Linked DNA regions of Caenorhabditis elegans. The protein of the gene in region 1 purifies or fractionates together with the protein of each later gene. This does not show direct contact. Each region holds a gene or a part of one and is shown on either strand. Other genes may lie near its edges.

The links. The genes of interacting proteins can lie anywhere in the genome.
Region 2: the proteins of rpac-19 (region 1) and rpac-40 fractionate together in Caenorhabditis elegans (co-fractionation; one large-scale study listed by BioGRID). This does not show direct contact.
Region 3: the proteins of rpac-19 (region 1) and W09C3.4 fractionate together in Caenorhabditis elegans (co-fractionation; one large-scale study listed by BioGRID). This does not show direct contact.

Annotation. Positions count from the first base shown.
Region 1 is NC_003281.10:9,628,710-9,631,837, reverse strand, and holds rpac-19 (putative DNA-directed RNA polymerases I and III subunit RPAC2), read left to right. Parts: upstream 1-1,952; 5' UTR 1,953-1,958; coding exon 1,959-2,102; intron 2,103-2,148; coding exon 2,149-2,252; intron 2,253-2,301; coding exon 2,302-2,488; 3' UTR 2,489-2,592; downstream 2,593-3,128. Other genes in the region: ubc-7 (putative ubiquitin-conjugating enzyme E2 7), read left to right, coding at 675-714, 770-872, 918-1,015, 1,063-1,241, 1,289-1,363; tbg-1 (Tubulin gamma chain), read left to right, coding at 2,684-2,787, 3,075-3,128. UniProt on the Caenorhabditis elegans protein: DNA-dependent RNA polymerase catalyzes the transcription of DNA into RNA using the four ribonucleoside triphosphates as substrates.
Region 2 is NC_003283.11:4,197,818-4,204,250, forward strand, and holds rpac-40 (DNA-directed RNA polymerases I and III subunit RPAC1), read left to right. Parts: upstream 1-1,667; 5' UTR 1,668-1,673; coding exon 1,674-1,757; intron 1,758-2,476; coding exon 2,477-3,156; intron 3,157-4,199; coding exon 4,200-4,303; intron 4,304-4,355; coding exon 4,356-4,472; intron 4,473-5,626; coding exon 5,627-5,742; 3' UTR 5,743-5,879; downstream 5,880-6,433. Other genes in the region: algn-5 (dolichyl-phosphate beta-glucosyltransferase), read left to right, coding at 408-596, 1,243-1,275.
Region 3 is NC_003279.8:4,702,882-4,706,439, reverse strand, and holds W09C3.4 (putative DNA-directed RNA polymerase III subunit RPC6), read right to left. Parts: upstream 1,837-3,558; 5' UTR 1,819-1,836; coding exon 1,558-1,818; intron 1,506-1,557; coding exon 1,143-1,505; intron 994-1,142; coding exon 727-993; 3' UTR 555-726; downstream 1-554. UniProt on the Caenorhabditis elegans protein: DNA-dependent RNA polymerase catalyzes the transcription of DNA into RNA using the four ribonucleoside triphosphates as substrates. Specific peripheric component of RNA polymerase III which synthesizes small RNAs, such as 5S rRNA and tRNAs.

The DNA.
Region 1 (3,128 bases):
TTGCTACGGAACTTTCATTGATTTTTCATAATTCTTCGATGATGAACAAAAATCGTGAAAAAAACAACAAAAAAATTTCAAATCACAGTACTCATTGAAGCCCTTTTCACATTTAACAAAAATATTTATGTCGTGTCGAGACCGGGTACCGTACTTTTGAAACAAAAATCTCAAAATACCGCGTCTGGATAATATGGAAAACATTTATATTTTTTAATTTCTAAATATCGGTTATTTCAATTTTAAAGGCATATTTTTGCATTCCTAGGCTTGAAATATAAGTATTTAAACCCTATAAATTCGCGCTGCAACTTTTAAAATTTGAAAAAGCGCGCATTTCAAGATAGCGTGGCAAGACCCAACTTCTAAAATGCGTGCGCCTTTGACAATCACGTTTTCACTTTCTTGTTCAGTCGCTACTGGCACCTTCGTCGCCGCTATTTATCGAGAATTAGTTTCTCAAATTTATTTTTTTATTTTCAAAAGATTTTTAAATGGTTTAATCATGTGCAATCGATATTTTTTCCACGTAAAAAGAAGTATAATTACTCTCTTCTTAATTTTTTGAAATTTCGTAACCATCGATTTATTGGTGCGTGTTCCTGAAAAATACACCACGTTTTTGCTTAATTTCATTCAAATTAATCGATAATTCTATATTTATTTCTAGATAGATGGAGCAATCCTCCCTACTTCTGAAGAAACAGCTGGCAGGTGAGTTGGGATTAAACGTGATCTATGATCAAAACTAACTTTTTTCTGTTTCCAGACATGCGCAGAGTTCCAGTCGACGGATTCTCGGCAGGTCTCGTCGATGACAATGACATCTACAAATGGGAAGTCCTGGTGATCGGACCACCAGATACTCTCTAGTAAGTTGTTTGTTTGTGAAAATTGTAATTAGTTTTTTCTTGCAGCGAGGGAGGTTTCTTCAAGGCTATTCTCGACTTTCCAAGGGATTACCCACAAAAACCACCAAAGATGAAGTTCATTTCGGAAATTTGGCATCCAAACAGTTAGTATTTACTGAAACAAGTCGATTTTACACATAAAATATTTCAGTTGACAAGGAAGGTAACGTGTGCATCTCGATTCTTCACGATCCCGGAGATGATAAGTGGGGTTACGAACGTCCGGAAGAGCGTTGGCTGCCTGTGCATACTGTCGAGACGATCCTTCTTTCTGTCATCTCAATGCTCACGGATCCTAACTTTGAATCTCCTGCAAACGTTGATGCAGCGGTTCGTCTAAACAATGAAAAATAACCGAAATATTTTAATTTTTTCAGAAAATGCAACGTGAAAACTACGCCGAGTTCAAAAAGAAAGTTGCTCAATGTGTTCGCAGAAGTCAAGAAGAATGATTTGAACATTGCATCAACAGAGAAGAAGCATTAATTTAACTCGTCGTTCATATGAAACTATCCACTTTGATCTTCTTTTTCTTACTCATTCACCCCATTTTTTGACACCACGTGTTTCTAATTTCTTTCCTCATAAGCGTTGGACTCGTTACTTTTTATTCCCCTTAACATTTTTTTGAACGCAAAACCTGTGAATTTGCTTCGTAATTTTTTTTTGTCTAGTGGTGGTGCTCTTTTCCTTTTGTTAACATCCAAACTATAGTTACAACTATGCAACTCGTTTTTTTTCTGAGAGCGGTACCACATGTTTATTTGTTTGGTATGAATTCACAATCCTCGTGATGCTACTTCTTATCTTTTATGAGAAAATAAAATTTTTTTTTCACTAAATACAATCAATTTCATCTCTGATAAATATGTCATTCGTTCGAAATACATTAGACGGAAAATAACGAAAACCGTTCCGCGTGCCTCGCAATTGCAAAAACTGCGTGCGAGCGTTGCAAAAAGAGGCGGGGCTTCATTTGGAAAATATTTAAAAATTATTTTTTTAATTTGATCTGTTTCAGTTATTAAAAGTGATTTTCAGCTCGAAATGGGAAAGAAAAATGAAAAGATAGTAGAAGAAGCTGAAAAGGTAGAAGCAGAAACAATGGAAGTCGACGAACAACCACAGGAAACCCCACAAGTGGACGACGAAGAAGATTTGAACGTACCTTCAAAAAAGAAAATGGAAATTGTAAGTTTTCTACACTATTCCTCTAAAAAAATGTTCTGTTTTACAGCTGGACCCAAAAAGTTTCGAACAAGATCCATCTAATTTGACGCTTATCATGTACGAGGAAGATCACACTATTGGAAATTCAATCAAGCACATTTTGAGCAGAATGTATGTTTTACGAACGAATCGATCAGATGTAATTGTTGTTTAATTTCAGGGATGAAGTTGAATTTTGTGGTTACAACGTTCCACATCCTCTGGAAGACAAGATTTTGTTCAGAGTGCAGACAAAGGATGGTATTAATGCTCTGGAAGTTCTCGCGAAGGCATTCGAAAGTGTTGAACAAATTTTTTCCACGATTAGAGGGAAATTTGAAGAGTCTTATGAGCAAAGCCAATCGTAAAATTGCTATTCATTTTGTCATTATTTGTTATCCATTTTGTTGTTTTGATGTTTTTGTTTGACTTCACCCATTTCAATCTGAAATGAAAAATTTGTATTGGCAAAGATAATTATTTGTGATTCACGTTTTTATGTTTTATTCAAAATATGCCATATTTTTGTTTGCATCAAAGATTTTCTCAATCCAAATCTCCAGATGTCCGGTACGGGTGCCTTGATGACTGTCCACGTTGGACAGTGCGGAAATCAGCTTGCTCAAGCCTTCTGGAAATCGATGGTCGACGAACATGGAATCAATGAGTAGGGAATAAATTTGAGGCACCGACAATTTCAATTAGGCAAAATTCGATATACCACAGTCCGAAATGTGAAAACTATTGCAATTTTTATATTTCAATACTGAAATGCTGCAATTGTGAATTGTTCTCGTGAATCGACATGATTGAAAACAAAATATGAATTATTTTACTTTTGTTTGAGATGAAACAAACATTTTTGCTAAGTTAAATAATTTAAGACGCAATTTATTCAAGGTCATAATTCAGCCTCATAATTTTGATAAATATAACAATTTTTTTCGTTTTCAGACGTGGACAAACAACTCACGAAGACGATATGAATGATAAGAAAGATCTATTGTT
Region 2 (6,433 bases), on another chromosome or scaffold:
ATTTCAATTCCGGCAATTTGCCGATTTGCCGGAAATTTTCAATTCCGGAAGTTTGCCGATTTGCCGGAAATTTTCAATTCCGGCAATTTGCCGATTTGCCAGAAATTTTCAATTCCGGCAATTTGCTGATTTGCCGGAAATTTTCAATTCCGGAAGTTTGCCGATTTGCCGGAAATTTTCAATTCCGGAAATTTGCCGATTTGTCGATTTGCCGGAAATTTTCAATAACGGCAATTTGTCAATTTACCGGATATTTCAATTCCGGCAAATTGCTGATTTTCCTGAAATTTTCAATTCCGGCAAATTGCCGATTTGCCGAAAATTTTCAATTCCTGATTTAAGATTTTAGCTAAAATTCGTCAAATTAAAGTAAAAAAAACCAAAAAAAAAAAACGTTTTTTTTTCAGATTTTCCCAGTACTTCACATTGAGCGCTGGGCTTTTGACGTTGAGCTCATCTTCCTTTGCGAAAGATGGACGGTCCCTGTGAAAGAAGTTTCAGTTCGATGGACTGAAATCGAAGGGTCTAAGATTACTCCAATTTGGTCTTGGCTTCAAATGGGCCGAGATCTTGTGCTCATTTGGTTCAGATATACGGTAAAATTGCAGTTTTTTAGGCCTTTTTTGAAGTGGTGTCAGGATGTCCCATCGCTCTACTGCACACGAAAATGGCGGGAAAATATTTTTTTTTTAATTTGTGACGTCACAGCGTATCTTGAATAATTTTCTTAATTTTAAGCGCCGATTTTTGTCAAACTTAAAAAAAAAATAAATAAATAATATCTTTCTCATTTTAATTTATAAAATTTGATATTTTACCAAAATTCTTAAAATTTAGTGGAAAAATTGAAGCAAAATACACAATAAAAATGAATAATTTCAATTGAAACGAATTTTTTTTTTCGAAAAACCATTTAAACCGTTCATTTACCAAGTTTCCGTGAATTTTTTAAAAATGATTTTCCAAATAAATTTTTGTTTAAATTGAAATTATTCATTTTTATTGTATTTTGCTTCAATTTCTCCACTAAATTTTAGAATTTTTGTAAAATATCAAATTTTATAAATTAAAATGAGCCAGTTTTTAAAAAAATTTCACGAAAATCGGCGCTTAAATTGAACAAAAGCAATTATTCAAAATGCGCTGTGTGACGTCACAAATTTTCAAAAAATATTTTCCCGCCATTTTCGTGTGCGGTAGAGCGACCTGACAATATTTTTGACATTAAAATTTTATTTTCAGATCGGAATTTGGACGGATGACCAGCCTCGCTAAATGCTCCACAAAAAATCGATACGAGATTTTCAAAAAATCTTGCCCAAAAATTTCCTTTTTCTTCTAGTAATATCTATGCTTTAATCACTTTTTTTCCCTGCTTTTTCCTGATTTTTTTTCCAATTTATGGCTGGTTGTAAATATCCATGATTCCTTGAAAATGTGATTCTATTCTTTTTTCTTTTCGCATTTTTATTATTTATTTATTTACTTGTTGGTTTTTCTTTTTTTTCTCTCTTGTTCTGGGGACTCTGGGTTTATTTTTAATGCTAAATTCAAAAAAATATCGATTTAAATGTTTTTTTCCATTTTTTTGTTTTTTTTTTCGTTTTCCCAGCGATTTTATATCTTTCCATAGAGTTTTCAGGCGAAAAAAATCAAAAAATTTCCAGGCAAAAATGGTCAAAAAAGCGGCGGCAACTAGCAAGCAGGCTACCTATCACAGTGATGAGATCGAGATGAAAGAGGAAGTTGTGCTCAATGTAGGATTTTTTGAATATTTCAAGGATGCAATCGCGCTCCATTGGGAAACGAGAGCGCTCCGCCCCCAAACGTTGGGTCTCGTTAGGAAATCAGGCGGCAAAAGCATTTTCCGTATTTTTTTAAAATTTCGTCCAGAAAAATTTTAAAAAATTCCAATTTTTTATTGAAAATCGTTATTTTTCCGAAAAAAATTGTTATACAAATTTACGAAAAAAGGCGGCGATTTATCAACTGCCGGAAATTAGTGAAAGATTACTTTTTTTCAAAAAAAATTGAAAAAATTTAAAATTGTGAGATAAACCAAGAAAAAATTAACTTTCGATTTTTTCAACTTTTTGGAAAAAAAAAACACAAACCAAAGAAAAAATGAACAAAAAAAAAGCGGATTGCGTGTATTTTTCACCACGCGTAACGTCGTTGTCGCGATGTCCTCCGGACCGAAGAGCAAGAAGCTAAAAACGCCCACGCTTGAACAGCAAATCGAAGATGGAGTCAATGCTTATATTCACTCGCAGCAGTTTGAGTTCAACTCTCCACCACGGGAAAATTTTTTTGCCAATTTTTTCGTCTCAAAAAAAAAAGGAAAAAAAAACCAAAAAACCGACATTTCTGGTCAATATTTTTTTTTGTTTTTTTTTTTTGAAGAAATTCGATTTTTTGCTTTTCGGCCGAAATTTTTATTTTTTTAAATTTTCCAAAAATTCTTCTTCAATTCCAGACCTACGACGAATGCACCGATTATGTCGAATACGACGATACAAAACAATTCGATATCAACGAGTATTGCGATCAAATCCAAGTGGCAATGGTCAATGAATCCGACGATGGAATGACATTGGAATTTGATATTACTCGCATTGAAGCTCCAATTGCAAATGCTCTTCGCCGTGTGCTCATCGCCGAAGTGCCAACGATGGCTCTCGAGAAGATTTATCTCTATCAGAATACTTCTGTAATTCAAGATGAAGTACTCTGCCATCGTTTGGGTCTTCTGCCGCTTCGTGTGGATCCACGTGGATTTCAGTTTCCAAAGGAAAAAGTCGTTGGAATCAATGAGAAGGGAGTGGATTGTGACGAGGAGCCCGAGGGAGATCCCGCGAAAAATTTGATCTTCAAGATTAATGTTTCGTGTACGAAGAATCGAAATGCGGTGCCGACGGCTACCGATCCGAAGCAGCTTTATCACAATAGCTCGGTCTACTCACGTGCTTTTGAATGGGTACCGATTGCTGATCAGAAGACGCAATTCACCGAAGAAGCCCATCCACGTATGGTTTCTGATGATATTCTCGTTGCCAAGCTTCGTCCTGGACAGGAAATTGAAGCCAGTTGCCATGCGGTCAAGGGAATCGGACGGGATCATGCAAAGTTCTCACCGGTTGCTACTGCGTCCTATAGGTGTGAATTTTGAAGCTGCTGAAATATTTTCTTTTGATTTTTGCGGTTTTCCGGAAAATTGAAAATTTTTCGTTTTTCGATTTTCTCGGAAAAAGTGAAAAATTGGGGGGAAAAAAATTATAATTCATATAATATATTTTCGGTTTTACGGGACCCCAAATTCTGAGAATGCGTATTACACAAAATTTTTGACGCGCAAAATATCTCGTAGCGAAAACTACAGTAATTCTTTAAATGACTACTGTAGCTTTTAAAGAGTTACTGTAGTTTTCGCTACGAGATATTTTGGGGAAGTTAAATAATTTTTGTACATCTACCTATATTCAGTATATTTAGACTGTTTTCTGTAATTTTGTGGAAAAAAAAGTTCGAAAATTTCAAGCCAGAGGTGAATTTTTTTGTCGACAAATTTGACAAATTGCCAATTTTTTTTTATTTTCGGCAATTTTCATTTTCGGCGATTTGCCGGAAATTTTCATTTTCGGCGATTTGCTGGAAATTTTCATTTTCAGCAATTTGCCGATTTGTCGATTTGCCGGAAATTTTCATTTTCGGCGATTTGCTGGAAATTTTCATTTTCAGCAATTTGCCGATTTGTCGATTTGCCGGAAATTTTCATTTTCGGCGATTTGCTGGAAATTTTCATTTTCAGCAATTTGCCGATTTGTCGATTTGCCGGAAATTTTCTTTTTCGGCAATTTGCCAGTTTGACGATTTGCCGGAAACTTCGATTTCGGTTAATTGCCGGTTTACCGATTTGCCGGAATTTTCATTTTCTGCAATTTGCCGGTTTACCGATTTGCCGGAATTTTCATTTTTGACAAATTGACGATTTGCCGGTTTGCCGGAAATTTTCATAGAATTTGCCTACTTTTCAAAATACATGTAGGAACATTTATAGGATGCGTACAATTTAGCCGATTGAAATTGAAAATCTGAAATTTCCAAAAAAAATGTGCAAAAACACAATTTGCCGGTTTGCCGGTTTGCCAATTTGACCTTCAAATTCTTCCAATTTTTCAAAAAATTTCTTTTCATTCCAGACTGCTTCCAACGATCCGCTTGAACGCCGAAATTTCGGGTGAAGCTGCCGAACGTCTCAAATCAGTATTCAGCGAGGGAGTTATTGCTATCGAGAAGAAAGGAGGTAGATCATAAATCAATTTTTAGGAAACACACCAATTTTTTTAAAATTTCAGCCAAACGAATTGCTGTTGTCAAGGATGCTCGCAAGGATACGTGCAGTCGTAACGTGTTCCGCCACGAAGATCTGTCGAAAGTTGTTCAATTGGGAAAGAACAAACAGCATTTCATTTGTTAGTGGCAGGGCTGAATTCGAAAAAAAAAACTGAAATTCATGAATTTTTCGCATTTTTTTGGTTTTTTTTCCAAAAAAAAATACACGAAAAGTTGTCGAAAAACAAACCCCAATTTTGTTAAAGTTTGAAACCTTATTTTGAAAATTTTAAATATTTTTGCCAAATTTTAACTCTTTTTTTTAATTTTGAGAGTGGTTTTTTTGGAAAATGTATAAGTAATTTTTTTTGGAGCCGGAGTTTTTATATATTTTTTTTCGCTTTTTTTTTCGAAAAAAAAAGAATTTTCGCCAGAAACATGGTACAGACGTGCCGTTTTTCGATTTTTTTTTTGAAAAAATTTTTAAAACGAAAAGTTGAAAAATTGGAAATTGGGAAAAGAAAATTTTTGAGTTTTCGAACTTAAAAAAAACGAAAAAATTTTTAAAAAAAATGTTCAGAAAATTAAAATTGAGCAGAAACTGGGGAAAATTCGAAAAATTCTGAAAAATTCACAAAAAAAACCCATTTTTTCGAACTTTTTTCCGATAAAATTACAAAAATCCTAAATTTTCTACTTTTCAAGGGCCCGAATTTTTGTGGAAAATTAGTAAAAATCGGTTAAAATTAACCATTAAATATGATTTTTTCTAATGGGGTTATTCAAGTAATGTAGCAATTTTTTTTTTTTTTCGCAAAAATTTTTTTACACTTTTTAATTTTCCGACACTACTTGAATAACCCCATAAATCAATTTTATCGAAACTGATGAGAAAAAAAAATTTAACGAAAAAAAAACACAAAATTTCGTCGTCAGAAATTTTTCGATTTTTCCCAAGTTTTCTAATTTTTTTGGTTGAGAAAGTCGATTTTTTTTAAATATAAAAAAAAAACCGAAAAAAACGTAGGAAAAAAGAGGGAAAAACTATAAACTTATTTAAAAATAAATTATATTTCAATGAGAAAAATGAAAATTTCTTCAAAAATACAAAAAAAAACCAAAAAACCATTTAAAAAAATTGCCAAAATTTCAAATTTCTTTTTTTTTAAACTGAAAAAAAAACACACAAAAAATTTTTCACAATTTTTACCGGCAAATTCGGCAAATTGGCAATTTGCCGGTTTGCCGATTTGCCGGAAATTTTGAATTCCGGCAATTTTAGTTTTTTTTTCAGTCAGTGTAGAGTCGACTGGAGCTCTGAAATCGTCTGAATTGGTGGTTGAAGCCTGTAAAGTCATGGAAATCAAGTGTCGTTCTCTTCGCAAACAAATCGAGGCTCTTATTCAATAATCCCCGTTTTTTTGAAATTTTGTTACTATTTTTTTATTCGTTATCCTTTTTTTTTGTTGTTGTTTGACTACCCCTCAAGTTGTTACACTGTTCCGTCACTTTCTTTTTTCTTAATTTGAATGAATTTTCGTGGCTTTTTTACCTTCAAATATCTCCTAGTTGGCCAAATGGTTGAAATTTCCATTTTTTATTTGTTTTTTTTGTAGTTTTTTAACAGGTTCATAGAAAAATCATTCATTTTTTCGGTTTTTTCAGAAAAAAATTATTAAAAAATGGAAAAACTCCAAAATTTTGAGCTATTTTCTCAAAATATTGGAAAACGAATTCTTTTCGATTTTCAGAAAAATTAGAAACAAAACTTTAAAAATCATCAATTTTTGTCTATCCTGATGAAAAAATATAATTTTCTTCAAAAAATTAAAAAAAAAAACCAAAATTTGAATAAAAAATTGTAAAACTAACATTTTCGGTTTTCCGGAAAATCGAAAAAGCGAAAAATCTTTTCTTTGCAGAAAAAAAGAAAAATCAATTTTGTTCTAAAAAATATCCTTTTTCGAAATACTGGAAAAACGGGGCAGTTTTCGAATTTTTTTCAGAAAATTGAAAAAAAAACGATTGTTTTTAGAAAACTAGCAAAAATTCAATATTTTGTCGAATTATATAATTTCTAAAAAATACCAAAATTTTAAGT
Region 3 (3,558 bases), on another chromosome or scaffold:
TTTCGCAATTATTGAATTAAAAAGGAGCGGAGCGTGGTTTTGCAAGCCTGCGGCGCGGTTTTTTGCATGTCGATTTACGAAGAGTTTTGTACTAGACATGGACATACATGTGTGAGTATTTTTTTTCGCTCGGTTTTACTCATTTTTTGGGCAAAATTCCTGTTTTGTACCTATTTTTCAAAACGACAAAAAAAATATTTTTAAAAGTAATATTTTAAAAATATTTCGGAAAAAATTAAAAAAAAAAAAGAAAACATTTTTAAAATTAATATTACGGGACCCTACAATACTGAGAATGCGTATTGCGCAACATGTTTGACACGCAAAATATCTCGTAGCGAAAACTACAGTAATTCTTTAAATGACTACTGTAGCGCTATTGTCGATTTACGGGCTAGTCCGGTTTTTAAATTGAAACCTGTAAAACCAGAAAAAAATGACATGCATAAAACCGCGCCGCATACTTGCAAAACTGCTCCGCGTCAAGGGTCGATCATTATGGTTTGACATTAAGATTAGTCACTTCCTACCATTCTTTCTGAAATAGAACCAGCATTTGTATCTCTTTTTATGAGATTTTTTTATTCAGAACAAATATTTAACAATTAAGAAAAAAAGAGGAGAATCAACAACAAAAAGGCATCAATAAATTAACAAAAATGGACAATAAAAATACGGGTTTTGAAGATCTGAGTTCTCAAAACAATTAACTAGAGAGTACTGCAGTTACAGATCGGCCAGCCAATTTTTCATATAATCACATGATTGAGGAGAGATCACATATCCTGGTCGACAATCCTCGACAACTGGACAAATAGCACACGGAACCGACACTAATGGAGAAATACTGGAACGTGGTGGACATGCACGGATCTTTCCATCAGCTCTTCGTTCAATTGTTCCATCCAACACAGCGACTTCGAGAATTCTTTCTAAATCTTCCAATGATAGTGGAACATTCAATACTCGTTTTTCGGTGATGAATTGGGCTATCTGGAAATTTTTTTAAAATTGATTACGCATATTTTTTGCTAAAAAAATTGAAAAACATCAATTTAATTTATTTTCCGGTTAAAAAAATTCACATTTTCAATTTAGAGTTTAAAAAAAAATTTTTTTAGAGCTATCAATAAAAATCAAACCTCTTGAGGACGAATATAGCTGGCTTCTCTTTGCATTTGAATATTATTCGGATTTTCATCAATCGCATGCTTTCGTCTGCTGGCAGCATATGAACCACAAACACTGATCAATGTATTGATGAGTTCCGAATCGAGTTGTTGATCAGAATAGAATGTTCCACCAGTCAATGACATATCTGGTTCAATACTAAACAAAATATAGCACTTCCTCGTAGTTCCAACAGCTTTGATAGTCTTGATCAACTTTTTCGTTTCCAGACTTTTCAATGTTTTTCGAAGTTGAAGCTGGTTGAGTCCTGAACCTTCTCGAAGTTCTTTTATCCATATTCCACGCGTCTTCGATTCTTCGATAAGACTGTAAATCTGTAATGAAAAATGTCAGTTTTTCTTTCTTCCGGATGCAAGAAATACTCACCACTTGCTCCTCTTCTGTTCCCGCAATCTGTTCACTTGTGTTAACTTTCAACCGGAGCACACCGCCAGGCGCTTGTTGAATAGCCAATTTCTTTGAGCTCAAAAGGCTATTGATCGCAGTCTGACGAACAGTTTGTGGCAATCCAGGTGTCATACTTGTCAATGCATCCATATCAATTCCTTCGAGAGCCGCTTGAACGATCTGCATCACTTGCGATTCGCTTTCCGCCGCGCTTATAAGTTCTTCTTTGATGGAAGCCATGATTTTTATCCGCTGAAAATTAAAATATGCATTAGAAAAATAAGAAAAAACATAAAATTATTGAGAGAAAACATTTTATTCGGTGAATTTTTGTGAGAAAATAGTGAAACTGAAGGGAGAAATAATAACTGCAAATTGCGAGAGAAAAATGATTCGCAATAGAGCGCGGTCGCCACACGGGGCGGGGCGATGGCAAAATGAGATGAAAATGAAGACTGTGGCTAAAAGCATTAATACTGAAGATTATAAAATAATAAAAATAGATAAATGGATAGAAAAAATGTTTTTCTAAAAGCTTATATACATAAAAATTATAAATTTTGAGAATTTTTGTTGTTCGTGGTCGGTTTGGCAGCCGCATTCGAGTTACATGCCATTTTTCGAAAATCTGAAGGAAACAAGGTGTTTGGCTTTTTAGCAGCTGTATTTTAATGCATTGATCATTATAATCAGTGAAAATGAGAAGAGTTATATATTTAAAATATTATTTTGGCTTGGAAAGGACAATTTTTCAGATTACTGGAGAATTGTTAGTTTTAATCAAAAAAATGAAATCCAAAATTTTGTTAAACATATCATAACGTTTCTTTTATTACGAAAACACAAAATGAATGCCCAGTGCGCAACATATTTGACGCGCAGAATATCTCGTAGCGAAAACTACAGTAATTCTTTAAATGACTACTGTAGCGCTTATGTTGATTTACAGGCTCGATTTTCGAAATTAATTAAAATCATTTATTTATGGATAAGAATCATACGAAAAAAACGACGGAAAATGAGTATCGCTGTCACTTTTGGAAAATTAATTCATTTCGAAAATAGTGCCCGTAATTCGACAAAAGAGCTACAGTAGTCCTTTAAAGAATTACTGTAGTTTTCGCTACGAGATATTCTGCGCGTCAACTATGTTGCACAATACGCATTCTAAGAGGTTTGTGTTACCGTAATATTGCATATTGAGGTAAATAACTTCGCAGTTGTACTGACAAAAGCTTAAAATTTCTCGCTTTCGCTAAAAATATTCTCAACAAATCCCCCACACTTATCCATTTTCTAATAAGTTTCACAACAACAATTTCATGCTACTCGGCTCCTAGTATTAGAGACCCCGGCTGTCTCTCGCATATTCAATCGTCATCAATGGAAAAGAGGAGCATTCAATGAAGAAGCAGTCAGTAGGAGTAGCCAGAGCCTGCTAGCAGTTGCCTTTCAGGGAGGCGAACAACAAGAGGGAAAGAGAGTGACCAAAATGGCTCACCATCTGCCACACACCGGGTGTTTGTGAGATATCTGCTCAGTGCTCTGCGTCTCTAGTTTGATCCCATATTCGCAATGTGTTCTCCGTGTCATTCTCCTCCAACAAATTATATATCCCTCAACACAGAGCTCCTCTTATGCCTTTTCTCCGTCTTGTTTGGCTCATACTCCCTCATTTTGAATCTCGTGTCTTCCTATTTTGCAATTCTCTTCTCACTCCCATATTTCATACATCTCGAGAAAAAAAAAGGACAAATTCGGCAAATCGGCAAATTGTACATTTGCCGATTTACCGAATATCAGATTTGCCGGAAATGTTTAGAGGAGTTTTTCTATAAGACGAAAACACTTAAACTTGTGCCTTTATGTAATTTTTTATTTTTTGAAATTCTAAAATTTCCAAAAAAAAACAGATATATGCAAAATCACAATTTGCCGACGATTCTTGGCAATTTCACCATAATTTCCATCAAGTTGGAA